3 linked regions of the Lepisosteus oculatus genome follow. The protein of the gene in region 2 interacts with the protein of the main gene of each other region in a pairwise test. Links are inferred from orthologs where the notes say so. Each region holds a gene or a part of one and is shown on either strand. Other genes may lie near its edges.

The links.
Region 1: the proteins of nckipsd (region 2) and psmd9 interact in binary tests that used the Homo sapiens proteins (3 or more experiments, as listed by UniProt). The two-hybrid records come from large-scale screens. The link is inferred for Lepisosteus oculatus from reciprocal best matches to the Homo sapiens genes NCKIPSD and PSMD9.
Region 3: the proteins of nckipsd (region 2) and stac interact in binary tests that used the Homo sapiens proteins (3 or more experiments, as listed by UniProt). The link is inferred for Lepisosteus oculatus from reciprocal best matches to the Homo sapiens genes NCKIPSD and STAC.

What each region holds. Positions count from the first base shown.
Region 1 is NC_090717.1:7,043,651-7,053,979, reverse strand, and holds psmd9 (26S proteasome non-ATPase regulatory subunit 9), read right to left. Parts: upstream 5,071-10,329; 5' UTR 5,020-5,070; coding exon 4,900-5,019; intron 4,521-4,899; coding exon 4,418-4,520; intron 3,747-4,417; coding exon 3,553-3,746; intron 2,899-3,552; coding exon 2,797-2,898; intron 2,603-2,796; coding exon 2,514-2,602; intron 1,562-2,513; coding exon 1,534-1,561; 3' UTR 1,010-1,533; downstream 1-1,009. Other genes in the region: 4-hydroxyphenylpyruvate dioxygenase, read left to right, coding at 6,316-6,318, 6,527-6,553, 6,902-6,964, 7,610-7,714, 8,409-8,451, 8,907-8,989, 9,382-9,471, 10,257-10,329. UniProt on the Homo sapiens protein: Acts as a chaperone during the assembly of the 26S proteasome, specifically of the base subcomplex of the PA700/19S regulatory complex (RC).
Region 2 is NC_090699.1:65,473,511-65,484,537, forward strand, and holds the start of nckipsd (NCK-interacting protein with SH3 domain), read left to right. Parts: upstream 1-6,370; 5' UTR 6,371-6,587; coding exon 6,588-6,758; intron 6,759-10,378; exon of another isoform or gene 10,379-11,027. Other genes in the region: tRNA (34-2'-O)-methyltransferase regulator WDR6, read right to left, coding at 250-3,295, 3,926-3,995. UniProt on the Homo sapiens protein: Has an important role in stress fiber formation induced by active diaphanous protein homolog 1 (DRF1). Induces microspike formation, in vivo. In vitro, stimulates N-WASP-induced ARP2/3 complex activation in the absence of CDC42.
Region 3 is NC_090705.1:25,709,066-25,719,514, forward strand, and holds the start of stac (SH3 and cysteine-rich domain-containing protein), read right to left. Parts: upstream 5,071-10,449; 5' UTR 4,473-5,070; coding exon 4,356-4,472; intron 1-4,355. UniProt on the Homo sapiens protein: Promotes expression of the ion channel CACNA1H at the cell membrane, and thereby contributes to the regulation of channel activity.

The DNA of each region.
Region 1 (10,329 bases), on a different chromosome or scaffold from region 2:
GAATAAAGACATCTGAATGTGAATTTTGGTCTTTATTTGTATTCAGATCATCAAAAGAAACTTGATCACTTAGTGCAGACAAATCACAAAGCTACCAGGGAACCATGCAGTCACGCCACCCTCAGTGACAACGCTTCTGCCCAGACCTTCACACTTGGACCTCCACATGGATTGCTCTCGGGTACACAGTAGTTATCACTCTCTGTGCACTGGAACAGGTAAAGGCTTAATCCATGCTACCAGGAAAGGAAAAGAGACGTGTTTGGCTTCTTCAGGTGTCAGCATTAAAAGGTGAGCATGAAACAGTGAAATCGAAAGACACTTCCACTGAAAATCGTCCTGTTGCTCGGAGACTGGTCTCCACATCTGAAGAAGCGTCCACAGCCGGAAGTTGTGTCTCTTTTCTTTTCCGTTCAGCACGGAGAAAATCTTTAACCCTTCCTTTGCGGCCTACGAATGCTGAAGCAGCTCCCTACTTAAAACTCTCCGTACTGTACATGCTGACATTCACCAGGGTAGTCTGCGCAAAAGTCCACCTGATGTGTTGCTCCTACTAACCAATGGTACTGAGGCTGGTGCTGTTTCCTTTCTGTTTCTCTCAGATGACGAGACTTGACATTCAGCAGGTTAAACTGCCTCGTTGCCTGTGCTCAGTAAGGTGATGAAGTGCTGAAGAATCTTTGCCACTTGAATAGGACAGCCATTGATGATCAGTTTAATAAAATTATGCCAAAAACATTTAACCAATACCCAAAACCCATACTCATACCAATACCAATACCCATACATATTTTTCTAAAAACACACACGGTGAAGTTAGTTTTATGTTCCACGTATTTTGTTAAGTAGATCACTTTGTGTTTCAGGAATACTCCATTTCATCCATTGTTACACTTCTGTTCAGTACAAGAAAAAGACAACCCCACTTACCACGTCACCCAGTGTACTGAATTGTAGGAAAAGACATGTCTATTAAAAACACTGACACACACACACAAAACTCAAAAAGCAAGTTTGGACAAATCCGTTTATTGTGGTCATGTCATTAGAAAATGATTTCCTTCAGTGTTGTTAAAATTTAGATATACGAGTAAGAAAATCATTTCTGCCAACCAAGAAGCATCAACATATGACATCAAAAAAAATTCATGCTTTCCTCGTGACAATTCCCCAATCCTGTTACCATCTGCCATAATTTAAGTGTCCCATGTAATTCAGTTCCACACAGTTCCACAACTGGGGACAGATCCTGAGCATTTCTTTCCGTTCGTCAAATGTAATTTTTTCTTTATCATGTGGAAGCCTATATGCTTGAGCAATGTAAAGGCATAAAATGTGTTTCAACAGAGTGACAGTAATAAATAACCCAGTGTAATGAAATTCAATAACTCCTTCAGCTCCCAATTCTTACACAGGGAAAAAAAAAACCAGAAAACACCAACAAAATATAGCAACTCCATTTGCAGCCCTTATAGACAAGTCAGCTTCTTGAAGCTCCTCGAGTGGTGCAGCTGTTCTGGTGCTTCAATGTTGTTATTTTCGCAGTGGCACAATGTTACACCTATTGGCACAAAACATTTGGAAGATTAGGAAAGGAAGCAACACAAACACCATAACATTTTGTTCTTTCTGAAACGCATTCTATTAGAGACGTCTGCTAAGAATTAAAACATCTATCACCAAACATCTCTATAACCAGAATCACCTTGACCCCCATTTTAAAAAACGAATTCAAGGAGTCACATAACTCAATGCCTGTGTGGGTGGCTGACAGCGCTTGTTTTTCAATGCTGTTTCTCAAAACGTAGGAAGGGCAGAGCTGATCAAACCTTATTGAGCGTCTTTATGCTAATCCGCATGTCCTGGGAAAAAACAACCTGCCCAGCTCCATACAAAACGGGTTTTGTTTTTTAAACCAACACTGTATTTTATTTGCTCAAAGTACAAACCCTGTTGAGGTTTCAGTGGGAACAACACCACCCAGGAATGAAGTGTACTGGGTGTTTTAGTCATAGTAAGATCTGGAGTAACTCACTTGGCTGAGGGACAACCTCCTGGCCACAGGACAAGGAGGCTGGGACCCCCATGCAGGGTGAGCAGTGACCAAGGGGCAACTGCAGATGTGGAGATGGGGTGGAGGAGGGAACATAAATGAGGGTGCTTATGTGGAGTATTTATATTTTTCTAACAGGAGGGCTTCAGGAAAGATCACCGACCCACCCTTTAATCACAGAACGACTGTGGCTTTCCTTTGACCGGGGGTTCTGGCTTCTGACCAATGAAATCCTGTCGTCGAGCACTGGGCTCGTTCCTCGTGTGTTAGTGGCAGGGCGGTTATTTTGATTTGTCTGGGCCTACGCCAAGAAATCAACAACGTACAGAGTACCTACTGGCATTTTTTTCCCCGGCTTGAATACTTAAGAATAAAACTGCAAGAAATTAAGATAGAGCATCACAAGAAGCCGAAGTGGCTGGCTGCACGACTGTTGTTAAATCATCGTTTTCAGACCCACCCCAGCAGGCCTCTTCCACTCCAGCGCTGTGGCGTCAGGCCCAGGTGCACTGTCTGCCCACTGCGAATCACAGTTATGCTCAGGGGTTTCTAAGGAAAAAGATTCACCAATGTCATTCAAGCCAACAATATACTTTTCTACAACTACGCGGTCATGAAGAACAGCGATCACTGAGCTGTACAGAGTGCAGTGCTCCAATCAACGTGTTTAAAAGCTCGCCTACAGGCCCACTGGGATGAAGACCTGCAGATGAGCTCAAAGGTTTCTGAAAGCAAATTCTTACCCCTTCGCTGTGCTGGACAACCATGGCGATGTTCTGCAGGTTCTGAAAGTTCACTGAATTCACACTGCCAAACTCAACGATCTCGTCCCCAACATGCAAGCCCTGTACAAGAAGGGGGGGGAGAATCATTTTAAGCCATTTCAGAGCAGGACATATTTCTCCAGATAAACCAAAAAAAAAAACAGCATTAGCCTCATTAGGGAAGAGACCAGCACCGTGTTGCATTTAAGATTTCTTCATAAGGTTCAAGAATTATTCAGATTTTAACACTACCAGTTTTTACTGTTATAACTGCCTAGTAAATGTACAGAGAGTAAAGATCCAGCAGCATAATTAAAAAGGATAAATCAGATTGCACACAACACAATGTCAGCCCACAGTCCATCAATCTACCGGCTCTGCCACTTGCTATCCATAAGGCTGGGGCTTATTTCACAACAAGGGCTAACGTTCCTTAAATCAATTCCCCAGACAATCAGGAGAGTCAAGAGTCAAGTCAGGGGTCAGCATTAATCTGGATCTGAGTTTACAGATTCCACAAACATATGAAGTACAACACTTCCACATCATGCAAACGCATGCATAGACAGAAAGGAGTTGCATTCTTTCAACATGCAGATGATTTGCAATTCATCATGCAACATCTGGAAATTAGTCTGCAGCGCAAGAATTTCCCAGCTCCTGCCTCCAGTCGAATATTTCCACGTTCTGCCCCCCCAGAGCCCCACAGGGTCCCAGCTAGCTCAGAGGACTCACGGCCAGGCTGGCTGGAGAGCCGGGGGTGACGGCGTCCGCTCTGGCGAAGGGCTGAGGAGGGCTGCGGGCCTGCTCCATGGCCTCCTCTCGCGCCTCGGCCTCGTCCCACGCCCTCTTGGCCTTCTCTCGGGCGTGGAGCTGGTGCAGCGCCTCCTCGATCTCCAGCATGATGGCCTTGTGGTCGTTCTGCAGGCCTGCGCGGGGGTGACACACGTCACTGCGTCACGGTGGGGACCAGCGCTGGCGCCACGCCAGCTGGAGGCTTCCCACACAATGCACACATGAGCTGGGCCGGGGGACAAGAGGCGGCTCCCAACTGCGGGACGAACTGAACCTCTAAATTAGACGGCCCGTGGCGTCTGGGCATCTTCTGCTGCTGCACTTTTGACAATCAATTTCAGATTCTGCTCAAGGCAGACACGACTAGTGTTGAGGCTAATTTGAGCATGGGCACAAGTAAAGGATAATACCACACTGAAAAAGTAGAAATAAGAAACAACGTTTCTGCTGTGGGGTCTTAAGATGTGAAGAGTAAAGTAGTGGGATTATAAAGAGCAGGGGAACAAGGCCAGAGCAGGAGAGAATGGGCTCACAGGGGTAAAAGCTGTACATCAATGGATAAGACTGTATACTGCATTCATTTACAGATTACAGCTGCTAACACCCCCCTGAGGCTCTTTCTCAGCTACTCCGTCTCCTTATCCTCCCGAAACGTTGCGTTTCGCTGAAGTAACCTTTCCGTGCTCCTCTGCAGCCGAAACACGCTGACGCGGCCGTCCAGAGAGGCAGCTGCGTCACATGGCTTAGAAAATAAGAGCTCTCTCGCTCTTTGGCCGTACGGTTTTCACACACCCGCACCACTCACAGGAGATGTTGTGTCTCGCCGTGCGGACCTGGAACACATCCACGTCTGCTCGCGGGTACCCTTCTACGTCAACGAGCGGACCGTCCATCCCAACGCCTTTTTGCTGTCGATGAAGTATTGGGATCACTCGTATTGCAAGCTCATCACGGTTGCATATTACAATAACATCTAAAACACCCGTTCGCACTATTTCTGTCAGGGGTCCTTGACGATAATCTACGCATAAAACTTTTCAAACGGTCGCAGAAAAAAACACAGGCCCTTTTAGATACACACTGCGTGTTATATTTTTTCTACAGCGATCTATGTGTTTTACGCATTATATCGTTTTCCCGTTATCAGAAAGTTCAGAACTTGAAAATCAAATACTACGACGAGTTTATTTTATCTCTGTCTAAAATACACAAGGTACACAAACCCAACTATGCAGACTCTGACTGAACCGATTTTTGAGTACACAATGGGATAATCTGAAATCTTACATCTTCCAGAACGTCGTAGTATGCTTTAATCTGTTCTTCAATTTCATCTTTCTTTTTGACGAGATTTTTAACATAATCAACCGTAAATGTGGAGTTATTGTGGTCGCTTTCTTCTGTCATCTTCAAACCGTGTCCGGACGTTTAACTGCAGCAACTACAACTACGGATCCTTTAAATGGACATACTCTGCTATTCCATGGAACGCGAAGCTATATTCAATCTTCAATGTTTTTTCAGTAATCCCCTGTAATTAAAATGTATGGAACGCAATTCCTTTGATGTCAGTTCTGCCCGGTTTTGCTCACAGGAAAACCACACATTTGAGTTTAAATTGATTTAGCAAACAGCACCATAACTTAATGAATTAAGTGTTTTATCTCTGAAAAGAAAACGCATCAGTTTTTGCCGTTCCATTTCGTTCCTTCTATGCACTGGCGTGTAAATAATTGCGTTTGAAGGAACATTTACCCGGATAGGTAGACCAAATTAATGAACACATAAATAGCATCTCGCATAATAAAAATTAGTCATTTTGCTTTCAACGTTTAATTTAAAAAAATGCAAGATAAGTGATAAGATGATCGTGAATAGATTTGCTGATGCTATAGTGAGATGAGGCCCGATATTCTTTACTGTGCGCATTTAAGACAATGTGTTCAAAGCGGGGGGTGGAAAGCGCTTGCTACAGTATATTTTTTTGTTTCCCTTCCAGAAGGCAGTTTTAGGGATAACCAATTGGAAACCAGGATCTGAGGAACTCCTCTATCGAATAACCCAACATGTGGAACCATTCAAGCATGAACTAACTAGCGCTGCAGCACTAGATTCACGCCAGCATGAATAAGCATTTTTGTGACCGACAAAAACGTTGTTTTGTCCTCGTGCTACATTTCACAATGAAATATACTTTTTAATACGTTCTGACAAACGTCTCAAAAAGGGCACCATCCAGCCGTCTGTGTATATTCACATACTGTATGACTGTCATAGGGACCAGTGATACATTCTTTAATAAAGTGTTTTTAACGTGTTATATTATACATAGGAACAGGTAATAGGTTTATTCCATGCTGAAATAATTTCTCTTTTCAGCATGGAATAAGCCTATTGTTCCTCTGCAGACTTCGCATGCTGACGCAGCTCCCCACCTGAACTTTATTATAGATATATTAGAATATATCATTGCCATATGCTATATGTATACATAATGTCAATGTTCCATTGTCTTATTGTGCTTAACTGAAATATGCGGTGCTTAAAATCTACCCCACTCATAAAAAATCTTGAGTGAGGGAGCCCCACATTACACCAGTCATTACTCCGGGGGCGTGGAGTGCTTCGTGTCGTCTTTTCGCTTAATGGTCTGAAGTTCATTGCATCCCCGGTTCGGCTGCTGCAAGAATCAACCAGCTAACAATGGTGAGATCACTTTATTGGTTTATAAATGACATTTTAGTAAGCTCTTTAACTACGCTTCTTCCCCACAATTTTCCACTTCTGTTTGATAGTCCCTTTTATTCATTTCGCACATTTTTCTGTTTCAGATGAGTCCTCGTGTATGTATCATGTGATGTATATGTATGGAGTATTTTGGCATATGTAAAACTGTATTTCTCCTTCTCTTTAGACTTCTTACACCGACAAGGGCGAAAAGGTACGTACAGTATAGCGTTTTTATTATAAGTTCTTACTCATTGAAGTGCCCTGTGGTCATGCCTGAAATCGTGCAGTAAGGGCAGCTCATTTTATATAAATATGTATTTTTTATGCAATAGGATATCTGGAAGAAGAGAAAACACCTGTTGTGGTTGACAAAGTCTATTATAGGTTGACAAAATGTGATGGGGATGTTTTTATTCCCATCACAAATATCCTTTTAAATTCACGACGTGTACTTAAATTGATTCGTAGACGCGATGGAGCGTATTAGCTGGAAATATGCTTAGCTTAAACTGTATTGTTTTTATGCTTATTCCTTATTAATGTGTTTATCTGATTATAGCATGAAAGAGGAAAGTTTATTTGTTTCGACCACATCACATTCTGGGTTGGCAACGCCAAACAGGTAAGCGTATTTATCCGACAGTTGAATAATTTTGTACTTTTGGTTTTCTCGCATCTTATTTTTTCCTCTCTCGAAATCACAGAGGTTTTCCTCTGGAAAGCTTTCTATTGGCTTTAAGAGAGGGGTGGAGTGGCTTCAGTTATTTTATTAAACCCACATTGATGCCTTCAGCGGTTTCATCTGACCGAGGGGCTTTAGTTTACAGTGTTAATCGAATTATGTCTTTAATTTCATTTAATAGACATACTTATGTCTACATGTCATTAAAACAATTTAAGTAGACAATGTCTTCCAACAAAGATTAATATCTTCCCTGAAAACGACGGTCCTTTTGTAAAAGTAATCTGAATAAATTAGAATGGGAAAATACAATGTACTATTAGAACTAGGAATCTTTTAATTATTCTATGTGAGTAAGTAAAGGTCTATTCAAAACTTCTCTGTGGGCTAAGATATTGAGTGTATTTTTTTTTAGTAGCATAGTTATGGTGGTTCATCCTAAACAGGTTTCTAATTTATTTTTATGTTAAAAATTAAAATCGTTTTTGACTTTGTTTCCAGCCTACCTGCAGCGTGACTTAGGGCAGGACACATATTGCCTGTGCCGTATATGGAGTGAACCTGCCTGCTTGCTCTCCTTTCTAGGCGGCCTCATTCTACTGCAACAAGATGGGATTTGAGCCCCTGGCGTACCGGGGCCTGGAGACGGGGAGCAGGGAGGTGGTGTCCCATGTGGTCCAGCAGGACAAGGCAAGCCCCCCTTTCCTGTGTGCTCTGCAGCTACAGTAGCTTCTGTCCAGTGACAAAGCCATCCAGGGGGCCAACAGCAGAGTATTGGACGCAAATACTAAAACATTAACAAACATTGACAGTTTTGTCTGATGTCTTCCTTGAGGTCACAATACCAAGTTTGACATCTTTGTTTTTTGCTGGTCGCTGTGGGTAGGCTCTTTCTTCTTGGTCCTTTAGAGTAAAGATAGGCCGTCCTTCCTCCCCAGATAGAGGTAGATTTTCAGTAAGGAAAGTGAACTCCCTCCGAGCTCCTAATTAACCTTAGGGTGTCCTGTCTAAAGAGCCATGGGGCAAAGGCCTTCATTAACTATCCAAGGAAACGTTTAAATAGAAATACACGGGGAGATTACTTTCAAACTGAAAAGGAGAAAAAAAAAAGAAGGAAAAAACACAACCTCAGGTGAACAAAGCCTCCAACAAATGCTGTTTGTTCCTCTTTCTTTTTGCTATTCAGTTTGGAATGAACCTTTACTGGTTCCTCTATTTCTTGTTTTTAAGTAGCACTCTCGGAAAACAAGCCGGTCCCTGAATAGAGGCTTTAATGGTATCGCCCCCTTCAGTATTCGGAAAGGTCTGATGAAGCAAAGCACAGTTATTGTGTGGGGGGGGGCTGGACATGTGTATATTCATTCTTTGTCATGCCTTCCTGCAGATCGTATTTGTCTTCTCATCTCCACTGAATCCAGGAAACAAAGGTAAGTATCTGGTTACGGGAAGGAGGTGGGAGGTGGGAAAAGTTGTAGTAAAGCTACAAACATTAGCAGGATTGATCTCCTCTCTGGCCCTGTGAGCCAAACCTCTGTGTTTAATCCGCTCTGCTGGAAAGACATGAAATGGTGCCTGTGACTCTGAGGCACTTCTTCTGCTGGGAATTGATCACGGCCGCCCTTGGCCATCTCTGGCTTTCGAGCCACGTGGCACCACTGCCAGACAGTGGAGAATTGTGCCAACATGGGTCCTATCATGGGAGAATTCAGCACAGTCTAGATCCCAAGAGGGTGGCGTCTCATCTTCTGTAACAGGCTCAGCAGCAAATGAGCCAAGCAACATTCACAAAGCACGCTGCATCTAAATGATTCTAAACACGACCTTATTCGTTTTCAGACGGCTGACTCTCTGCTGTGTTTTCCCCTCTTTTTTTTCTGCCTAGAGATGGGAGAACATCTCGTGGAACACGGAGATGGAGTGAAAGACATTGCGTTTTCAGTGGAGGACTGCGACTTTATCGTTCAGGTACTGAGCCCAGACAAGGGAACTGGAGGGAGTGCTGCTTTTATCCAGCTACCGGTTATCAGAAAAGGGAAGGATCTGAGCACATCATATTCAGCTCCTTCTTGAGAGACAGGAAAAAGCAACCTGCCTGCAAAACCGAAAAGAAAACTGAGACCGAAGATGATCAAGGACACTTATCTTTGCATATTTCGTGAATGTGAATTATTCAAAAGCACAAAGTCCTAAATATGTTGTACTGTAAAGTTGCTGTCATGTCACAGGCTGGGTCAGGTGAAACTGGTTTCATTCAAAAGGAACGTGCACAGGAATGTAAGATCCGTAGACTGGGGTGGGGACTGACAGGCCTCGATTAATGAAGTGTGTTTCTCATGCCTTCTGTCTGTCCTTTGCAGAAAGCTCGGGAGCGTGGGGCTGTTGTTCTGAAGGAGCCCTACACAGAGGAAGACAAATACGGCAAAGTGAAATTAGCAGTGCTCCAGACGGTACGTGAGGGCCTGCATTACAGGTGGTCGAGCACAGGAATGATGTGTAAAATGACACAGACTTCTAAAGTGCAGGGCCCTGCAGAAGATCCAAGTGTTCCCAAACCAAATCCGCTTGGAGACGTGGAAGATTGATTACAGACAACCCTGCTGTCTGTAGTCAAGCCCGAGAGAGCTCCTTGCCCCTGTGTTCTTCGATAGGATGTGGTGTCCATCCTGTCTCAACCAGCACACCTGACATTTGCCTGTAAAACACATTTTGTGAGGGAGGTACTAAATACAGTCTCAAGATTATTTCTTATGAGGCAGTTGGAAATACAGCCATGTTAAAATTCCCCCAAAAACAATAATGAGCTTGTGTACCAATTAACATTGAATAACTCCAAAGCTTACACCAGACTGACTAGGATTTGGAGCAACATTTACAGTATAATTAAAGTGATACGTTAAAGTGAGAGCAGACTGAAGTGTACTAAAACACTATGATCCAAGCTTCACCACACCACAGTTGAGTACATGCATTCTAGAGGTATCAGCATGGCAAAAGTAAGTGAAAACTGCCAGAACTACCTGCAGTTTTCTGGCAGAAAATTCCCAAAAGGAAATGAGGCTTGGTCTTCTCTGCTTGAAATTCTGCATGTAGCATTCCATTGTTAAAAGAATTGCTGTAATCTGACAGCTGGTAACGTGCGTGCCTAGTGGTGTCCTTCTCTCAGTTCATGGAGCTTTCTGAATGGGCGTAGTGAAGCATGAGGACTGACCCCTGGTGGCCGATGTCTCTGCAGTATGGGGACACCACTCACACGCTTGTGGAGAGGACGGACTACAGGGGACTCTTCCTGCCCGGGTTCAAGGCTC
Region 2 (11,027 bases):
GTTTGCTTTTGTAATTTGTTACGCTGTTAGGGATGATGTCACAGAAAAAAAAAATCTGCTGTACTGATTATGTTCTTTATACCTACTTACATTTTAATATTTTGTATTTTTAATTGTTTTAAACACTTGAAACCTTTCCATTTGGTTTTGTGACACGTGAAATAGAGTATTTTTCACTAGTCCAAAAAACTACTAGAATATCAGAATGGTGGAATATGACCTTTCACCCCCCCAAAAAAAAACACTCACCTGGTCTCTGGATCCATTTTCAGCATCTTGTGTCGGTTCCGCCTCTTCTCCCACTGTTCAGCCAATCGGTGTCCTGCCACCTGGATCACCTGACAGGAAGGGGTGCCTTCTTGCCTGTTCCAGCCAATCAGGAGCCTGTAGCTCTGCAGCTGGGCCCGCCCCCCGCCAGAGAAGAGCAATGCAGACAGACAGGAGGGCTCCTGTACGTCTGTCTGTCCATCTGGGAGCCTGTCTGTCCCTGCACCTGTCTGTCTGTCCCCGCGTCCCCCGCCCTGTGCGCCCGTCTCCCCCTCGGGTTGGGGTACAGTGGCCAGCGCTCTGACGCTGGAGATGTGGTCAGCGATGATGGACAGCACTCTGACAGATCCACAGTCAGGCTGTACACCCAGCACTGTCAGGGTGGTGTCCTCGCCCCCCGTCACCAGAACCTCCCACCACGCCCCAGCCTCTGACCTCACTGCCCCGACCCGACACACGCACGCCACCCCTCGTCCGTGCACCCCCTCTTTCAGCTCCAGTGGCACCCCAAAACCCGACAGGGGGGGCCCTCGGCCGCGGGACAGGAAGACCCCTCCTTGCTTGATGAAGGCGAACCCGTCCCCCAGGCTCGGCGTCCAGCCGGGACCCGCGTTCGCCCTGCTGGGGGCGCAGTAGCTCCACGACCGATGGCCACCCCCGCACGGCACCGAGAGGAGGCGCTCGTGGCGCACGGGGTCCCACACCACGAAATCCACCGAGTGGAACCCCAGCACGAGAAACCTCCCCCTGGGCCCTCCGCCCCCCGCCGCCCCACTTTCCGTGGCTCCCCGCAGTCTGTCCCCCCCCCGGCCTCTCTCCTCCGGACTGACTCCCCCCCCACCCTCGGCGCGCTCTGTCCCGCCTTCTTCCTCCTCCGCTGGGCTCCTCTCCCCCCCCTCCTCCTCCTCCTCCTCCTCCTCCTGCGTCTCGGGGAACAGGACTCTCTCGACCCAGTCCATGCCCCGGCAGGTCCGCTGGGCCCGCAGAACCTCCAGGGTGTCGGGCCTCTCCTCCGCCTCGTCCCCTGACCGGACCCCCAGCACCCGGACGCAGCCGTCCCGCCCGGTGCTGTACAGCAGCCCGCCCTGCGCCCGGAGGGAGGTGACGCCCTGCTTCCCGTGCAGGCCGAACAGAACCGACACCGGGCCCAGCGGGGGCTCGTCCGGCCCCCCTCGCCCCTCCCGCGCCCCCCTGTACAGCAGGACAGAGCCCCTCCGGTCCCCTGCGGCCCACAGCGCCCCCCTGCCCGGCAGGGCGGCCACAGCGGTCAACCAGCGCTTGGCGCAGGCCGGCAGCAGGAGCGGGCGGAGAGGCCGGACCCCGAGTGCCTGCTGCCCCCCCCGCCCGCCGGCCGCACACACCTCCCAGCGGTACACCTGCCCCTCCAGCCCCGAGGCGAAGAGCTGCCAGCGCCCGGGCTCTTCCTCCCCGCCCCTCCCTCTCTCGCTGGCCCAGTGCAGGCTGTGGACTTTGCCCCGGCCCGCCCTCAACTCCAGGGCGCCCCCCGGCTGCTCCAGCGCGAAGACGCGGACCCCGCCGGCGAGGTTCCCCACCGCGCACAGCGCCGCGCCCCCGCCGGCCTCGGCGAGCTCCAGGACGCTGTACGACCTGAACTCGGGGTCCCCCTCCCCCCCCAGCGGCTGCCAGCCCTCGCCCCCGCCCTCCCCGCCGCTGTGAAGGTACACGCACCCCTCGTCTGTCAGGACCACCACACGCAAGTGCCCCTGCGCCCCGAAGCCCGCCAGGCGCACCACTTTGGGGGACCCTCTGCCTCTGAACCTCAGGTCGCACAGAGAGCGGCGTGGGGCAGAAGCACAGCCCCTCCCAGGTCCGCCCTCCCCCTCGCCGTCCCCCCCCCGTGTCCCTCCCTCTCCCCCGATCCGCCACACTCGAATCCCCCCGTCTGCCCCCCCCGTGGCAGCCCAGTGCCCACCTCCCCCACCCTCGCTGACCGCCAGTGCCCGCACCCCCCCCGCCCTGTGACCTTTGAACCGGCGCGCCACGCTGCCGCGGTGCCCGTCCCAAAGAAGGCAGAGGGAGTCCTCCCCGGCGCTGAGCAGGCGGCCCCGGAGCAGCCGGACCGCGAACACCCGGGCCTGGTGCCCGTACAGAGCCCAGAGGCGCACCGGGCTCTCGGACCCACAGCCCGCCGGCCCCCCCAGCGACCCCACCTGCCACAGGCACGCGCTGCGGTCGTCGGAGGCGGAGGCCAGCCACCCGGACTCCGGCAGGTAGGCGATTCCGAAAACGACCCCCTCGTGCCCCTCCAGGCGGCGCTGGACTGCGGGCCCGCCCCCGCCCCCCCCCGCGCTCTCGCCCTGAGCCGGCCCCCACAGGACCAGCTGGCTGAACACCGTACCGCCCACCACAACCAGACCGGCCCAGCTGGGCCCCAGCAGCAGCGCGGAGTACAGCAGGCAGCCCTCCGCGCAGCGCGACAGGGCCAGAGCGACCCGGGCCCAGGGGTCACACAGGACTACGGCATTGTGGGCCAGGGCCACGGCCAGGTGGCGCCGCCCTTGCAGCCAGTGGGCATCCCACACCCAGTCCTGCAGCTCCCACAGCGGACACAGCTCGGCCAGGCGGGGGCTTCCCCCGGCGCGCTCTTCCTCCCTCAGCTCCACCACACACACGGCTTTGCCCCCAAACACCGCCAGAAGAGCTCCGCCCTCTCTCTCCTGCGGAGCCACGCCCCTTCCTAGCCCCTCCCCCGGCGGCCGAAGCTCCACGGCTCTTTGGTCGACCTGCTGCCGCGGTGTCTCCTCTCGCGTGGCCCCCCTCACGCCCACCCCCTTGGTCCCTCCCCCTCCTTCATCGTGTTGCTGCGGTCTCGGCTCGGCTCCGCCCCCACTCTCCTCGTGTGGGCGTGGCTGCTGTTGGGACCCTCCCTCTCCGCTCTCCTGTCGCCGGGGGGCTGGTCGGATGCCATGGATGCGGTGGTTTCTGAGCACGCTCAGTGTGGCGCCAGGCTGCCGTGGGGCTGTGCTGGACGTGCGCAGGCTGTAGACAGAGAGGACCGGACCCTCACCTGTAAAGACAGCGGGCGGGGCACAGGGGGACAAGTCTCAGTTCGGCATGTCCGCATCCTTTTCCATTGCTATGCTTCTATTTTTTCTATTTGCATTCCTCTTTTTTAAGAAACCGGCGAACGCGGGGCCGATTCTGAAAGGGGAGGGAGAGAGATGTGACCACAGCGCAGACCAAACAGCTCCCACTGCCGGCGGAGAGAAACAGAGACAGAGGCGCCCTTCCTACTGCACTGTGACAGATACTCTGGGATTAGAGAAACATTCTCCCCCCCAAAACAACAGATCTAATCCCAGAATCCCCACACCTGCCAGAATCAGAACAGCTCCCAATCCTACTGGGAGAGGGAGGAGGGAACTCAGCTGAACTGGCAGCCCAGTATGTGATCTCCTGTCACAGCCTGAGGAGCAGTGAGCCTGTCTCCCAATTATGTTCTATGTCGTATGTAAATGTCTTCTGATGTGTCTTCATTGTAAATGTCTAATTTTTTATGTTAATTTGTTTTGCTTTGGCAGCACCGATTGTACTCACTGGCCGTGCCAATAAAGCACCTGGAACTGAACTGAACTGATGTGCCACAGCGCCCTGCCTCTGGAGGAGCCTGCTCTCTTCGCTGGCTCTCCCGCCTCACCTGACAGGAGATACTCCTCCCCCAGAAACTCCAGCGCCGTGACCGGGGCGAGGAGCACCGTCGACCTCATCCCCCGCGCGCCTGCCCTCCCTCCGAGCGGCTGCAGAGGAAGAGAGACCGAGAGGGAGAAGGAGAATCTTCGGCTGGAGGGCGTCGCCGACAGGAACAGCCGGTGTTACGTAATGCATGAGTGATGACGTCATAAACGAAAGGTCCAGAATACGGCCCCAGGGAATCGGCAGCCGTCTGGGAAATGTTGAGATTCCTCCGGTGCAGGGTTCTGCGACTGGACAGCAGAAATGCACGGATCTGATTTTTTCATTTATATTTCGCGTATTTTAGAGAAAATACATAATAAAGGCAAGAAGCAATTCACTATGGACTAGACCATCTGCCACGAATTCTTTGGGAACCCTTCTTCCTAAAGCACGCTCTTCACAGACAGAGCCCCGAGAGGCATCCATGCTCCTGGTGCTTGAAGTGATTAGTCAGCCTAATAAATGCAATAACTGGAATACACTAGACGATAAGTAAAAAGGTAACAGTAAAAGCAGTATCATTATAATCCATTAAACAAATGTAAATGGATTCTGTAAATGTCAGTATCGCTTAAATCAGTGACTGCTCCAGCTGTTACACTACATTTCCCAGAATGCTGCAGGAGGAGACCGTTTCCTTTTTCACCCGTGTGTGTGTACAACGAGACAAATACAAGTCATATCACTCATCGCCAGATCAACCACGACCATGATATTAATGAATTTAGCAGTTAAACACTTCAGTTTTTCCAATATCTCTCTACGCACACCAGACTATATCTTAATTATGTCAGACACCTGTGAAATGCTTGACGCGAGGTAAATCATCATACACTACTTATCATAGTGATACATTCTCAGTCAACACGTCTTCCTAAATAGCCCCCAGGCTACTGCGCCTGATTGCAAACCCAGAGCTGCCCATCTGGCAGTTATTTTAGCAGCTGTGGAGAAACTGAGAGACGGTCCCTCTCTCACACATACTTCAGAAGGGAAACTGCTCGGTTAGGATCCAGTGACGACAGCAACGGCGATGGCTTTGGACTTAAACGGAATAGCTTTTCTTCCTAAAAGCGACGTCTGTTTTACACTCTTGTGACACACATCTCTAAGCTACAGGACACACGAGAGCACATTCAAACGCCGTCCTCTACAAACGCTTTCCCCCTCCCGGCTTCCGTCCACACGTGGGTCCCGTGTCTCTCGGCTGTCCAATCAGAGAGCCCCACAGTGCAGTGTCTTCGCGTTTCCCGGGTCACTGTAAACCTGCCGCTGATTGGCTGGAGCGTTTCTTAGCGACGATAAAAATCATATTATTTACATGATTAAATACGTTAATTGACCTTTTTTCTCTTTTCAGTACCGCAATAAAGGTAATATCATGAACACACGCCACAAAGTCGGAACTATTAGGAACACAATATTTTAAAGTAAATATTAACATTTATCTTGTCTGATGTACTGTATCCATTTTGGCCTTTAAACTATTTCTATTTTCAAGTCAGAAGTGTCCAGTCCTGGTCCAAGAGGACACGTGTGTAGTTTTCATCCCATTTCAGCTCTTAATGGCCGCAGTCACCTTTACGTTATTGATTTAAATTGGACCGAGTTAGCTGCCTGCTCTTCAGGTGCTCCTGTAAACAACTAAAACACCCTCAAGACCACTGTTTTGTGGTTTATAATCAGTAATCTATGCAACAAATGTCACCCTAATATACTTCTTTAAAAAAAACGAACAAGAGCAAACACCAACCTACAGACGTGATCAAACTAAAAAAAAGTATATCCATGACGGAGAACTTGAGGCACTGTTTTACAACAAGGTTGGTAGGTGCCTGGAACAAGGAACTAGAGCTTGATGCTGATTCTCGGAGATCTTCCAAGACTGAAGTTCTCAACCTCGGTCCTAAAGAGGTGATCAGCTGATGAGCAACACACACAGGCGCTCGTTAAAAAAAATATATTTTTTCTTTCTCCAAAGGGCAGCACTCCTGAACGAGGGGTTTTCTGAACCTCAAAAAGTGGTACTGGGTGGGGAGCCAGTTTTAGGGTTTTAAAGAACTGAAAGCAAAGTTAAAATACGCCTTCAATAAAAATAGGACCAGGGTCATGAGTGCCAGCTGTTAGAAACGGTTGGATGAGATTCTCATCTCAAGTGAGCAACCTCCCCCCTCGTTTGTGATTCTTATTTCCCCTTTCCCGTCCTAAAATATATTTTTTAAAACACACACACAGCTAAATAATGTTATTGTTTCTGTTAAAATAGGAAGGGGGGGGGGGGGGGAGACAGACGTTAACATCGCTTTACACAGTATGCATGAATTTCTGCTCCAGTTGCAGGCGGACAGCGGCGTCTGCTGATGAGCTGCTTTCGGGGGCGTGCCCGTCCGGTCCATTTCTGCGTGCGTGCGCGCCCCCTGCAGTGTTTACAAGCGTTTCGGGCTGGCCGGCGGTTCAGCGGGGCAGGCAGGGAGAGAATCGGGAATAAATCAGTGTTTATCCCTCCCCCTGTAGAGTATACTAGGATTCCGGACTTCAGAGGGAAGAGTTACCCTCTTGTCCGCTTCCCGGAGCGCTAGCCTGTGAAGGAGGTGTGATTATTATTATTTATTGCACGGCTCGGCATGTATCGGTCCCTGTACGCGTTTCGCTCGCCGGAGCCCAATTCCCTGCCCTTCGCCGCCGGAGAGACCTTCCTCATCCTGGACAAGAGCAACCAGCACTGGTGGCTCGGGTCCCGGTCCAGCTCGGGGGAGACCGGCTACATCCCGACCTCGTACATAGAGAAGATTCAGGTGGGTCGCCACCGAGGGCTGGCTGGGGGGGGTACCCTCCGGCACCGCGCACGGGTGTCCGAGAAGGTGGGGGTGTCGGGCCAGAGCTGGGGTTCCGGGGGGGCACACGGACTCGTATTTAATTAGCTCGCTGTAGTTGTCCCGCGGGGTGTCAGTGTTATTGCTGTTGTTATGATTGTGATTGATTTCACCATGCCGGGCAGACGCGTCAATGCTGGTCAGGATGGCTGATGGAATCCGGTAAGATCTTGCAGCGCTGTGCATGGGATAATGCAGCACCCCCCTTCAAAAACAACACGAAAAAACAGCAAGCGAGCTGTGCGGTGAACCCCTAGTTTGAGTTACTGGGGGGCACCCCCCCAACCTGTGTTTGGGTCTGCAGAGCGTTAGCAGGGTCAGTCGGCACAGTCTGAGCGGTCCTCCCGCCGGCCCGGCTGCTGTCCGGTCTGTGTCCTTGCGCCGCAGGCTCTGGAGAGCAGCCGGGACGGTAAGCGAAGACGGAAGACTGGCGAGGGGCAAGTTCAGCATCCTGGTGTCGGTTCCCTCTGGCAGGTTTCGGAGTGAGGGACGGCGTCGGTGCTCAGCACAGCGGGCGAGTCAGGGTGTGGTACAGTGTCGGGGTGCTCTGTGTGGTGTTGGGGCTCGGGGCTCAGGGCTGCAGGGGGCAGTGTTTGGGCTCATGGTGCAGTGGGGATCTCAGTGCAATGTTGGGACTCAGGGTGCAGTGTCTGTGCAGTGTTGGGGCTCAAGGCTGCAGGGGGCAGCGTTGAGGCTCATGGGGCAGGAGGGTACTCGTGCATTGCTGGGGCTCAGGGCAGCATGGGGCAGTGTCGAGGCTCATGGTGTAGTGGGGTACTCTGTGCAGTGTTGGGGCTCAAAGTATAGTGGGGTGCTCTGTGCAGTGTTGGGGCTCAAGGCTGCAGGGGGCAGCATGAGGGATGAGCAGGTTACCCTAGAGGGAATTTCTAGAAGCCCATGCTTCTCAGCAGATGGACTTACGTTACGTCTGAATGAACAACTCCGAGGACAGCAGCAGACTCTGTAGGTATTATTTCCAGAATTCAATAACAGTTGTGCTCCAGGCTCAATCTCCTCTAATCTGACTGTGACAAACAGACTAGGAGGAGAGGATAGAAATCACATTTGTGCGAGAGAGCGAGAGAGACGGATGTCAAAGGCATTTGGGTTTTGTATATACCAGAGGGCGAGAGTCTCCCGGCGTGACGGCTTTGTGCAAAAGATTAAAACGTTAAACCCCGAGACGCTGAAGAGATTCCAGCAAATTCCTTTTTATTTGATATCTTCTGTTCTCTTCCACAAATTGCGTAAATAATCTCTTTTATCTACTGGCTCTTTAAACGCTGACGAAGAGCCGTAATCAGTGGAGTGCGAAGAGGAGATTATTTAGTCGCACTGTTGCGTGATGATTTAAAATCCACAGTTCCTGCGCTGCCTTGTTCATTTGCTGAATCATTGAGTTTTTGGATATTTAGTTATTTGCTCAGTAATCGGCAGTGTGGTTATTCAGTCCTGAATAATTCAGTTATTCACATTCATTTATGAATGTGGTCTGTTTTTCAAATAATAGCGTTGCTCAGTAATTCGATTAACTTGATTGCAGTCTTTGCTTATTCAGGTATTTAGCTGCCCAGTCTCTGAACAGTAAGTCATATTATCTCATCATTGTGCTCGTGGGCTGGCAGGTTTTTAATTAGGATTGATTAGGCAGCGCTAATGGCTTTCGGTTGAAGACTACAGCGGTGATTCAGTTTGTATCGATCCTCCAAGCTGTCGGCTGCCAGGTTAGTCCACTCAAAGCGATGAAGTAATTCAAGTTTTTTTTTATTGCAACTCTCTTGCTCGTGTTGTCAGCACACTGGCCACGAGTGGATGAGAGAGTGTGTGTTGTCCCCCCACCCCCAGGGGTGGAAAAACTAATCTGCCACATTCAGAACCGCGGACTCGCCCGCCCCCCCTCCCCACAACCTCTCTCTTCAGCATATACCTGATCCCAGAGGCCTGTGACTGGCTGTGCCCTTGTATCTCTATACCCCGTCTGCTCAGTGAGATGAGCACTAAATCCCCTCAGCACTGCCTAGCCTCCTGGCTCTCAACAGCTTCCTGTTTTCTGTGCTCATATTATAATGTGCTCCCTTTTTCATGCACCCTTGCTTCCTGGCTGATAAGTGGCTCTGAATAAAACCGTGCCCAGATGCACGAATGTCACTGCGCGCGCGTGCCATGAGCAGAGATCTGCTCCACAGCTGTCTAGGCCACAGTCAGCCCCTCGCTGTCTCCCCACAATGAGGTTATTGATAGGAAGAGCTGCAGCTGCTCTGTAGTCTGCAGCCCGTTCCTGTCCTGTCCTGTCCTGTCCCTCCTCTGGCTGACCCTGTCCCGTTGGCTACAGTGAGCTGGGCTGCAGCCGCCGATGGAGAACGGACTGGGAACGAGACCGGCTGGAGAGGAGGGGACGGGGGTTTTGCCGGGCTGAGCCGCCCTTCCTGGGAAGAGGCTGCAGTAAAGTGGGCTGGGCTAGTCTGCCCTGGACTTGGCTCTGCTGGATGGAGACTGGAATGTGAAGCTGGAGTGGACCGTTTTTAGACAGCGGGCTTGAAACGGCCACCCCCCACCGGCACAGAACCAGCACAGAGCCGACCCAGGCCTCCAGGGCCTGTGGTGGGCTATCTGTGTTGTGTTAATGTGACCCTGAGGCCCGGTATTTTTAGTGCTGGTGATTTGAGCTGTAGGGATTGCAGAGATTTCTGAGGCCCTGTGGGGCTGTGATGCACAGCACAGTCTATTTCAGAACGGGAGGATAATTAATTAATCCACTAAGGGGGTCCAGCAGCTCTGCCCTGCGGGAGACTGGTGGGCGGGTGGGTGGATAGGGAGTGGGTGCATGACGTGACGATGGTAACTTACAGTCGGCCTGCAGCTGAAAAGTAAAGCAGAGAGCTGAAGTCAAGAACGTGTGTTTGTCTGAATAAAGGTATATGAGAAAAGGATAAAAAAAAGATATAATAAAACCGAATGTGGTGTTGATACAGACAAGTAACACAGGAAAAAGGAGAGGCTGGGCTTTCCAGCTGTGCTCGAATGGAATTAATTTGAATTGAACTAACCTTCATTGCCCCTAAGGGAATTTGTCTTGCAGATCAAGAGCTCATAAATATATAACGTATACGACGATAATACAGTACAGCGACGGTACAATACCATAATACAAAACAAGATTCAACCACATCACTCGATATCGGAACTCTTCCAGTACCGAAAGATTGAAGAAACAGGCAACTGGATTGTAAACAGTCTACAAGCAATAATAATGAAAGAAGGTCCCTACCTGCCAACAATTCTTTCATTGTTCATCAACTGAATGTCTTTCGGCAAAAAGGATGTAAATGCTCTCTTGGTGATCTACAGGGGATCTGGCACCTGAGTGGATGAGAGGTCATCTAAGACCTCCTGTGCAAGATCAATTCTTGTCGCCGAGTCCAAGAAATGTGCTGGTAATCGTGCCCCTGGCCCTGATTGCTTTGTTCAGCTTGTTTTGGTTGTGCAAGGACAGGGCACCTCCCCCCCCCGAAGGCCTTAGGGTTAGGAGGCTCGGAGTGAAAAGTGTCAACGTTGTGCTTTCTGCATTAAAACTCTTCAGCTCCCTTGAAGAAAACTCCCCCTGTTGCTCCTTCACTCCGCCAGGGAAGGGATGGGCCTCGCACACACAGCTCAGCCCGTCGGACCGTGGGCGCGGCGCGGCTCTGCATGGCGGCTCCTGTGCTATGAGAGCTGGCGGTGGGGATTTACTTGCAGGCGTGAGCAGGCGTGAGCAGGCGTGAGCAGGCGTGTGCAGGCGCCTCTCGTGGGAGCCGAGCGAGACGCAGCTGGCTGCGGTTCTCCGGCCGGCCTGGTCAGCTGGCGGAGCGGCCGAACGCCAATGCGATGTGTCCGAACCCGCTCTGGAGCAGTTCCCGTATCCGTGTGGAGACGATAGAGAGTGCTTTTGAGGTTAAGTAAAAAAGAGGGTGTTTTAACACAAGGTTCGTTCAGCACACAGGTCAGCAGGTGCTGATCACCCCGTGATAGAACTGTGCCACAACGAGTTCCTTAACAGTGCCGCTGTGTGTGTGAGAGAGCACTTGTGTGCAGTGAGCAGAGTGCTGTAGTGCACTGGAGCCTGGTGGAGTGGAGAACAGCCCAGCTAACTCAAATGGGGTGAGTCTTTCACTCTGGCTTCGCACGGAGTGCACGTCGGCGGTGGGGAAGGGC
Region 3 (10,449 bases), on a different chromosome or scaffold from region 2:
GTTTCAATAATTTATTTTACATTTTTAAAGCTAAATAATACATTTTACTTAGGAAATATTTGAGGTTAGAGAAAAAAGTATAAGGGAAAAGTAAATGAGTATGCAAAAGTTTATTGTGAATATAGTACCTGCATTTTATGTAATATATATTTGAGACGTTTATGAAACAATATATAGAAATAGCACAATGATGGCTGCTTCACAATTCTTGGGTCCTGGGACCTAATCTTAACTGGGATGCTATCTGTGTGGAGTTTGCATGCTCTTTTGAGGTTCATGTGGGGTTTTCCCTTGGTGATCCAGTTCCCCCCCCCTCCATCTTCAAAACACATGCTTGTTAGGTCAATTAGTGTCTCTTAAATGTTCTGTACATTATTGCTTTGCCTTAGTATTGGAATTCTTATATTTTCATGTGATAGACTCATGATGAGTGAAATTATTTCACTGTTGTCTTTTGTCAGACTGTGACCTTGTATTACCACTGAAAGTAGAAGAGAAGTATCAATAGATAATTATAGGCTGCATTCAGTGTTTTTAAAACCGATGAGCCTTTACTACTGAGAATAAAGATGGTCATGCAGTTAGAGCTGCTAAAATAGATGACAAATACTGTGTAGGTTTCTTTTTTATACTAAGGTTTCCATTCACTCTTCTTTTCTTTGAGGAAATGCAGCAGTTGTCCTGAGAGCATACTCAATGTCATATTGTAGAAAAAAGCTATTGTTATATTTGTTTTTACAATTCTATACTGCTACTGCAAGATAACCGGATTTGTAAATTTAAGCACATAACAAAAATATTCCACAAGGAAATCTACCAAATTTAGCTTTTAACTAGTTCAGTCTGATTCTAGTAAGTGTGATACAGAGATGGAATGTATTAGAGGTTGTCTGGCATAATTTGCCTAATGGCAGTCTAACTGCAAGCATGAGGCTGACAAAATCCTCTCTCATTTTCGCAAGGGGTGGCGAGAGTGATGTGCAAAGGGGTGTTCAGGAAGTGATATATATACTACTGTGAGAGAGTAAAAGTGGGTAAGTTTAGAATCAAACCTTTCTCTTAATTTCTGTTAAAAATGCCATTTATGATGAGCAAATATTATGATTCCAATACAGTAGCTAATTTGTAGCCTATAAATTGAATACACAGCAATATACAGTACTCTACACGACTCAATTGCAAAGTATTCTGAGTTTAAGGTCAACCTAAACAGATACTCCTTTCTATGCAACACATACTGCAGCAACACATAACAGCTTATATTTAAAGCCTGGATCAATGAATTACATTTTAGCATGTTACCCAAATATTTATATTATGTTCTCATAATCAGGTCATGATTTTAGCTTGAAGCAAGAAACACCTTGATGCATTCAAGGAAATGGCTCAGAAATATGAAAGTTATTTGCTTTCTTCCCACCGTGATAATCACAGTAATATGTGTGGGAACAAAAGCTAAATTGGAGAACATGTGGAGCTAATGAGACATTCTGTTTTCTTCAACTTCAGACATAAATCCAATTTAGACACTCTGGGATACAATGAATCAAGTTTTATTACCAACAACCTTGACATTTATTTTAAATGATACAGGACTTTAGAAAAGTTTCTTAAGGTAGGCTAACTTAATTCATCAGTTCGCAAAGAAAAAGAAAAGGAGATTAATGTTCAGTGACACACCTCTAAACCCCTATGTAACATCATCCAAGACCCAGTATGTGAAAACACTGGTCACTGAGGGTTTTATTCTTGTTTGGACAGTTCAGCTTGGGTACTTGAAGGAGTGAAGATGGTTCAAGTCCATGATCTTAACCACATACAGTACACTACAAACGCAGGAAATAGAAAAACAGAAAATATTACAAAGACCTTGGTTTTGTTTGACTTTGAATTTTGTTATTGTATCTTTAAGTAAATACATCAAGCTTACATGTTTTTGAAGACCCTGACTGTTTTTCCTTCAGAAATTCTTAGAGACACTAACTCATCATTTAATGAGTCATTTGCGTGGTCTTTGTGATTCCAAAACAACACTAAGCAGAGAATCATACTCTGCAGACAATTTTCTATGCATGGGTAAGTGAAATTCTCCTCACAGGTTTGAGGGACAAAACTGACCTTGTATAAGCTGTACCAGTGATATAGCTGGAATTTGAAAGATAAGAATATTATACAATACTGTAATTGGCTAAAGATTTCCTACTTTTTCAAATACTACTTCAGGACAAAGTTACTTCAATAAATAAACAAGCAATAAATGAGTACTAGCAAAGGCCAGTGAAAACGCCTTTGTTAAAAGGGAGACCAGTCATTTTGATATCCTGAAAACCAATCCTTCATCACAAGAGAAAAAGAATAAAAAGAACCTTGAAAACATGCCTTTTATTCATTGAACGCACTGTACAGGAATGCCTGACTGTGTCTGGGCAACAGTAAGAATATCAAGCAACCAATTCCTCATGGCCCTTTGAAAAGCACAATGTAAAAATAGTATACAGTATCAAATTACAAAATTAAATTATAGTATGCAAGTTATGTGGTCATCTCATTATGTGTCATCTGAGCAAGTGGGCACCTTTCGATTTTACTCATATATCCATTTTCTGCAACTGATTTATTCATAGAGGGTGCCTTTGAGCTGGAGTGTAATCCAGCAGGCAAAGAATGCAAGATGCAATTATATCCTGGATGGAATAACAGTACATTGCAGGGTGCACACACATTTAGGGCAATTCAGGGATGCCAATTAACTCAGGTAACATGTCTTTGGACTGTGGGAGGAAAAGGATGCACCAGGTGAGAACACAAAGGAACACAGGAGAATATGCAAACTCCACACATAAGGCTCCACAACCAGAAATCAAATGCAGGACAAAAGAGCTGAGACAGAAACATTAACCCCTTGTTTAGTCACAAATCCTGAGTTTCTAAATTATTTGACTGAATCTGACTTATTTAATCTTAGTACTTTTACTAGCAACTTAAACAATTGTACTAGAAGAGTCCAGCTTTACAAATTAGTAGTTCATTAGTTCAGCCTATTATACTTTAATGTCAGCTGCACTGTGTAGTACAAAACAGTAAATGCTTAAATACTAGGTGAAGTAGTTCACACCTGGAACTTTCCATCTCATGATTGTTTTACATACTGGTTAGCTCATGGACTCACTAGATCAAAAGATCATCACATCTCTAGTGAATGCTGGTGAAAGAATATCACAAAACTTATTTAAATAGTTCTTAGTGTAATCTAATCCTCAATAACTTTACCTAGTGCAATGCTCTTTTTGCAATATACTGTAGTTCACACTCAAGGCTATAGGTGACCCAGAAAATTGTCACTGAACTAGAAACTTACTGTACATGAACTGCCAACAGGGAGACCTTTGGTAAAGTTTTTTTTGGTGGGCTGATTTGAAATAATTTGAAATACAAAGGTGAACCCTAATATTTTAACATTAAATTATAACATACTAGACTCATTAAAAGCATAAGGATATCCCATTTGGATAAATATTACATAAGAACTTGAAATGTAATATAGTAAAGAAAAATATATAGTACTGTTAGCTTCATTAACTATTACAACACCTATCTACTGTAGCTAATGTTAGCTAGCAGTCATTTCTTTCTTAAAAGTTGTTGTTAAAGCTAGTCTGACAGTTTGATAATGACAGATATAAAATTAATTCTATTTCATATGCTGTAGCACACTGTAAATACTTTTTTCAATTTGTTTCAAACTATAGGATCATAGTGTATAAGACATGTGACCAATAACTAATTTAAAAGTAGTGTAATAACCAGCCTTACATCTAAAATGCTTTTGTGTTTAGACTTTGACTTCCTGTCTGGCTTCTAATTATTCACACGGAAACATAAGAATGACTCAATATGAATAAAAAATAACATGCCAAGGTGGAAAACAATGTCATTATCTCAAATGCACTTACTGTAACCATTTAACAGACAATTCAAAGATATGAATGCCATCTTGAGAAATTTTCATTTCATCTGAATTTTAATTCAGATTGCGTGTTGATGGGTGTTGCATAATTAGTTGTTTACGAATTTAGTTGCTACTCAGAATGTCTATATACAGTATGATGCTTAACATTTAGACCAGATTCCGCTAGAATTATGTGTGTATTATTATTTAGTTAATATTAATCTGTAATTTAAACAGTCGTCTGTTCCACAAAACTGTGTTGTAGAATAATTACTTGATTTTATAAGTCTGGAACTACAGAGATTCGCTAAGAGTATAAAATGAAGAATACCCCTTGATCAGGTCGAAAATGAAACATGTTCTGGTAGAAACAAAACTCCTCCGAAGAAGAGACTTCATTTATTACCTTTGATTCTTGCTGGCTGACAGTAGACGCTGGTGATTGAGGCAGATCATGCTCTTGTTCGTTTTCCTTTTCTTTTTCTATGTTGTCTTCCTCTAGCATGTTAGCTGGTGGAATCATCTATAGGGTTTTTATAGTTGAAAATAAAACCAGCGGCAGATGCTCCTGTTACGTTCCTCACCTTCTTCGTGGAGTCTCTGTATTTTATTAAAATTTTACATACTGGTTCTGAAAGCTGTCCTGGCCCCTGGAACCGTCTGTGAGTCCCAGAACCATCAAAGCATCATCTCATTAAAGTACACCAAAAGGAGGGTAGCCCGTCTTTTGTCAAACTATCAATAGTAAAGGGTTATGGATTGGGAAGTCAAATCGATTATATTTCCGATTCAATAACTTTATATCAATCAACTTTCTTCATACAAAGGCCGACGGGTAGGAAAAAAATAAAGTACAAAAAAAAATAAAGCAAACGGGGATTAACACTCAAATTAACAAACCTCAGGAAAAAAAATGTAACTCAGATCGCAGACTTGAGACTTGTTCAGTTTTTCATATCCCTTCACCAGAAAACTGCTGTTTGTCAGAGCTTTGTCCCTATTGGCATATACCTCCCACTGATGTATACAAGTAAACGGTATACTGTATCCTTTCACTCAGATGAGCTGGATTAGAATGATCTGGTTAAAATGCGTGAGACTTTTGTTTATGTCTCTGGTATGTCTGACTGACGGTTTCGGAGGGAGGAGTCGTGCTGGATCAGTGCCATCCTTGTTCATCCTACAGTGATATCAACCCCTATTTCATATAAAAGGTCATAAAATAAACGTTAAAATAACTACAGCAACGCGTATTTCTTTAATCGTAGTTCGATTAAGTAAAATATTTTGAAAAATGATAACTTCGAATCTGCGCATATTATGCGGGGCACCATCAGACTTCATTTATCATATTTGTCATCATGTGCATCTAGGAATGTGAGAAAACATTTATTAAATGGAAAATAAGTTAAAGACACAAATAAGGATACACAACATAAATATTTTAGCATTATTTTTGATGAATGCTCTGATGAACTCAAAATCAAACAGAGAATAGTGAGCAATCATTATCTTTTAGTTAAATCATTTTAAAAAAATCAGTTTTGATGAATTGCTAAGAACAAAGCACATGGAAGGAAAGTAAACAGTGAATATGGCATTTTGAGGCTGGAGTATCACAAATGGTGAAAACATGACCAAACATAATTAACTTCGGCTTACTTCCGAAGCTGTTTGAAATTCCATATTTTTATCAACTTTATTTTTGTACTCAGTGGTCATATCAGCACAAAACTGTATATTGTCTTTCATGTACTTGTAAAGTGTGTTCTTCCTCATTTGTGAAAAACACACTACACAGTAATTGTAGTCTTTTATTGTAATGAAAACTCTTTTCGTAAAAGGATTCAATAAAGTTAAACATTTGAACCAAATAAGACCTATAAGAAGAAGAAGAAGAACAACAACAAGAACAAGAACAAGAACAAGAAAGTGTAATGTATTATTATTACACCCCAACCATTTCAGCTTTGCAAGGGAGCAGTAGCCTTTTCTCGGCAAGCAAAAAGTGCAAGATGTGTCACACTCAGAATAGGACGCCAGTCCATCATAGGGCAAACACAGATACAGACACGTACACACTCACACCAGGGCCAAGTTTCCTGTAAGCTAATTAACCTAAGAGTACAGGTATATCTTTGGACTGTGGGATGAAACCAAAGCACCTAGAGGAAAGCCATGGGAAAATGGAAAGAACATTTTCCATTAGGACATGATGGCGAAACAGTGGTTAGAATTGCTGCTGTTGCAGCGCTTAGACCCTGTGTTCAATTCCAAACCTGGGTTGCTCTCTGTTTGGAGTTTGTATGTTCTTCCGCAGTCTAACATCACACAGGGAGGTTAATTGGCTTCTAGGAAAATTGGCCCTGGTTTGAGTTTGTGCATGTCTATGTTTGTGTCTGTGTGTACCCGTATGATGGACTGGTGTCCCATCCAGGGTATACCCTGCCTTGCCCATGCTGCTTACTGGGGTCTCCTGCTCTCCTGTGACCCTGAATTGGAAGAAACGGTTAGAAAATGGTTGGATGCTTTACATTATTCTAAATTGAAATTGCAGGGGGGATAAACAATATCCTAGATGTATTGGTGTTGCACCTGGGGGCACAGAGGCAGATGGGAGTAGTGATGATTCATAGAGGAGGAAGTGTTCCACACACTGCTCAATGCTGTTAGCCTTCTTTAGAATACTATTTTTGCAGAGAGGATTTAGCTTGGTCTGATTCACCCCAATGATTTTGTTACTTGTGTTCACTAATCTAGAGATAAATTGTTTTAAATCAATGGCAGATTGTGCTCTACAACTGGCTATCATGACACCCATGCAGGCTGACGTCTATCCTCTAAAGGAGAATTCTTCTGGAATATCACTGCCTTTCAGAATGGGTTAGATTGCCTTGGGAATACTGCAGAAAAACAGAAACAGCATTGAAGGCCATACCTTTCATCTCAGCACACAGCAACACTCTGCTCCGATGTCCTTCAATTTCAATGCAAACTGGGTAACAGTTAAGATACTGGACCTCAGCAGATAAAACAATATAAAAGCCTACCAATGGATTTCTTTTAGAATTATAAAATATTGGCCTTGAGTCACTAGGATAATGGTCTCTGTTCAGTGATAGATAAGACATTCTCGTACCGCTCAAATGTAGTTAATCTTCTTCACAATACAAGTCTGCCTCAAGGTAAATATGATTTACTTTATTGCATGTCTTCATAAATCTTTCTTAGAATTCTGAGAGAGTGAAAATAGCTGAAACATGATTTTCTTTTTATGTTTGTAATCTGTAATCATGTACTGTATAAATTGGAGATGCTGGAAACTTTTAAAAGCAGATAAATCAGAGGTTATTTACCTACACACACAGAGGGGACTCTGTCCTAATGTTTCTAGTAATGTAATTATGTCTCTAATGATTTTCTTCTTTATTAGCGACCAGTGTCTCCTATAAATGTGTAAATAATAACATAATAGGAACAGTTTTAGAATTGTTTAAAAATGTGGTGTTTTATTTATTGAAAAATATATTTGTTGAATTTAAGGATTTACAGATCCAGCCATTCAAAATGCACAGTACAACCCCATACCACGTACAATTACCCACAGTTCACTGCGGTGTACCGTGGTACGTGATTTGGCTGGCCAAAATGACTGACAGGGGCACTCTTGGTGCATTGGTTGTTAGTGAAAGGATGTAATCATTTAATCTCTTTTCTGTGCATGTTTTAATACACTTAGTATTGAATATTTATATGGAATTTGACAGCTAAAGGGAAATTTTAGTAGCTGAGCACAAAAAGAAGACAAGCATAACACATCTGAAGGTCATAAACGATATTACTTTAGGAACATAAACATATTATGTAAAATGTATATAGCTGGTATTGGTAGTTTAAATAAAAAATACACACCAGTATTCCACTTTCTTCCTAAACATTTTAAACATCAAAGTCTTTCATTTGGTTACATACTGTAGTTTTTTTGGAAAAGTTTTTACGTGCTCCTTCAGACTATATTAAGTTTATATACTTTGTAAAAAGTTATAATGTTTTAACCATATCTTCAATCTGCTACTGTACTGCCACTACAGTATTGCTTGTGGTAAATAAATTTGTCCTGCATCAAAGTTAAATTTGTTCAGAGGACCCTACATTACAAATTCCTAGCATTTCATTTTGACCTGAAGACCCTCACACCTGAAGAAGGCTTCACAGATGAAACATTGTGTTTTCTCTTCTCTTTTCTGCATGGAATAAACCTATTACTTGTTCCTTAACAATGACAACATTGCATGCTACTGAAAATTCCTTCCCATCCCCCTGAATTGTTCTGTTCTATTCTATTCTACTGTCATGACCGCCAGCCAGCAGAGATCAACCCACAAAAGAGCCAACCAGTGCCAGCAGCGGGTTCATAATAACAAGTGCCGCCGCACGTGATAATCCATCAGCACACGCTCTACCATGCGGCAGGCAGCGCTATTTAAACCATCTAAACTCGCTTCCCGTTGCTCGGTACTACAGATGCAGCCATTCAAAATGCGCGGGCGATACCGCATTATTTTCCGGTACGTTGTACGCAGTCTACCGCGAGTTTCCGGTAAATACCGCAAGTTACCGGTAAATACTGCTAGTTACTGTAAATTCTCCTATAATACCTCTCATGTTTGAGCTGTCGCCATCAAAGTCTTTAACGAAGATATTACTAATAGTATTAATAATGAATGACTTTGGACAAGCTGTAAGTGTAAACTCAAAGTATTGCCCTGGTCCACATTCTTTTTTTCATTGACCCTCTTTGTAAAAGTAACACCACAGCATTTCGCAATCACGCATTTGTTTCCAATCATGCAAAGTACCGTAATTTTTGAGAATCGATTCACCATGCCTTTCACATGCTCATAAAAGCATGTGAAATAAATAAAAGAGATTGATTTAGGAACCTAAACATATTACCATATGCAAACTGTACTGTATACAGTATGTATATGTATATTTAATGTCTTAACTGTGCCCGTTTAAGTATTGAATATTTATATGGAATTTTACCACTGAAGGGAAATCTTAGTGCCTGAGCATAAAAAGAATAGGAGCATACTGCAACGCGTGTGAAGGCCATAAACAATATTAATTTTGGAATTTAAACATACAGTATATGGCTGGTCTCGGTACTTTAAAGAAAACATACACACCAGTATTCCATTTCTCCCTAAACATTTTAAGCATCGAAGTCTTTAACAAACGTGATACCGGAGTCAACAAACATACTTTTAGAATTTGATTAAAAGGGAATATAATATGGAATCGCGTATCTCAAGAAATTAATAACGATATGATTATATTCGTGTACTGCGACAGGGCTATGTAGGGCTGTTTTGCCTCTTTCTTCATGCAACTTCCCTTGTAGCCCACTGGTCTACATGCCCGATTACTAACTCACGGGTTGTGTGTTCAAATGCAGCTGGTGCTGGACTTTTCTTTTAACAAACATTTCTTCGAAAAAATAGAATAGCAATATTATGGACAATCAATTGACTTTTATATTTCAAAATATCACAACATGATCGATTCTAAGTCATTTTTGATAACAATGAATAGTCACCTTCTTCCCTTCTGACAACGGTCCCTGCTTCTGCTTCCTGCTTCTATTGTGTGTGTGTAATAGAGTAAATTTTTATAGAGAAATGGAGGCTGGACAGTATGCGTTACAATATAAACATTTATATTGATTTAAATCGTGTTTTGATTTAAATCGCAAACGCGTGTTTAATTATATGTGTTTTTTTCATCATAATCAGACTAATGCAACATAAATTGATACAGTATCTTTGTCTTCTAAGTATCTTAATAAACTTTCAGCATAGCTTTCTACCCGTTTAGATTTATTTTTCTTGGGATTTTGGGATCAAACGTGGAAGGATTAGATTGTAATCGTTTTTATTTTTCAAATACGTTTAAGAAAAGTGTAATCTATACCTGCCCAGACTGTACGCCTTCCTAGACCCCACCCTGCGCACCCCAGCTGGGCGCTCTTCGGCCTCTGCCAGGGACGAATGTATATTTTGATATTTACACCCGGTGCGGCACCGAGGGAACGTCTGGATTTATTACTTAGTTTTTAAAATTAGTCAAGCAATATGAAGCAACTCCTTTTACTTTTAAATCCCTTAAGTACATTGAGCACAGCTTTCTCACCACTTAAGATTACTTTTTGATACCATCCTTACACAAAGCAGAAACTTTCCGATGACATACAGTACAAGTGGAAAGATTACAGATTTTAATCGTCATTCAATTTGTTACGTTATACGTTTTAGGAACATTTAATCTAAATAAACACCACAAAACTATTCTCGATTGTATTTCTGAATGTTATGTTACACCTACAGTAGTTCACTGCTTTAAATACATCGAATTAAGAAAGTTAGGTGTAGAACTTTAGATCTTTTTTTCTGAACCAGGGAAAATCTGATCATGTTTCTCTATAACAATAATAAAAA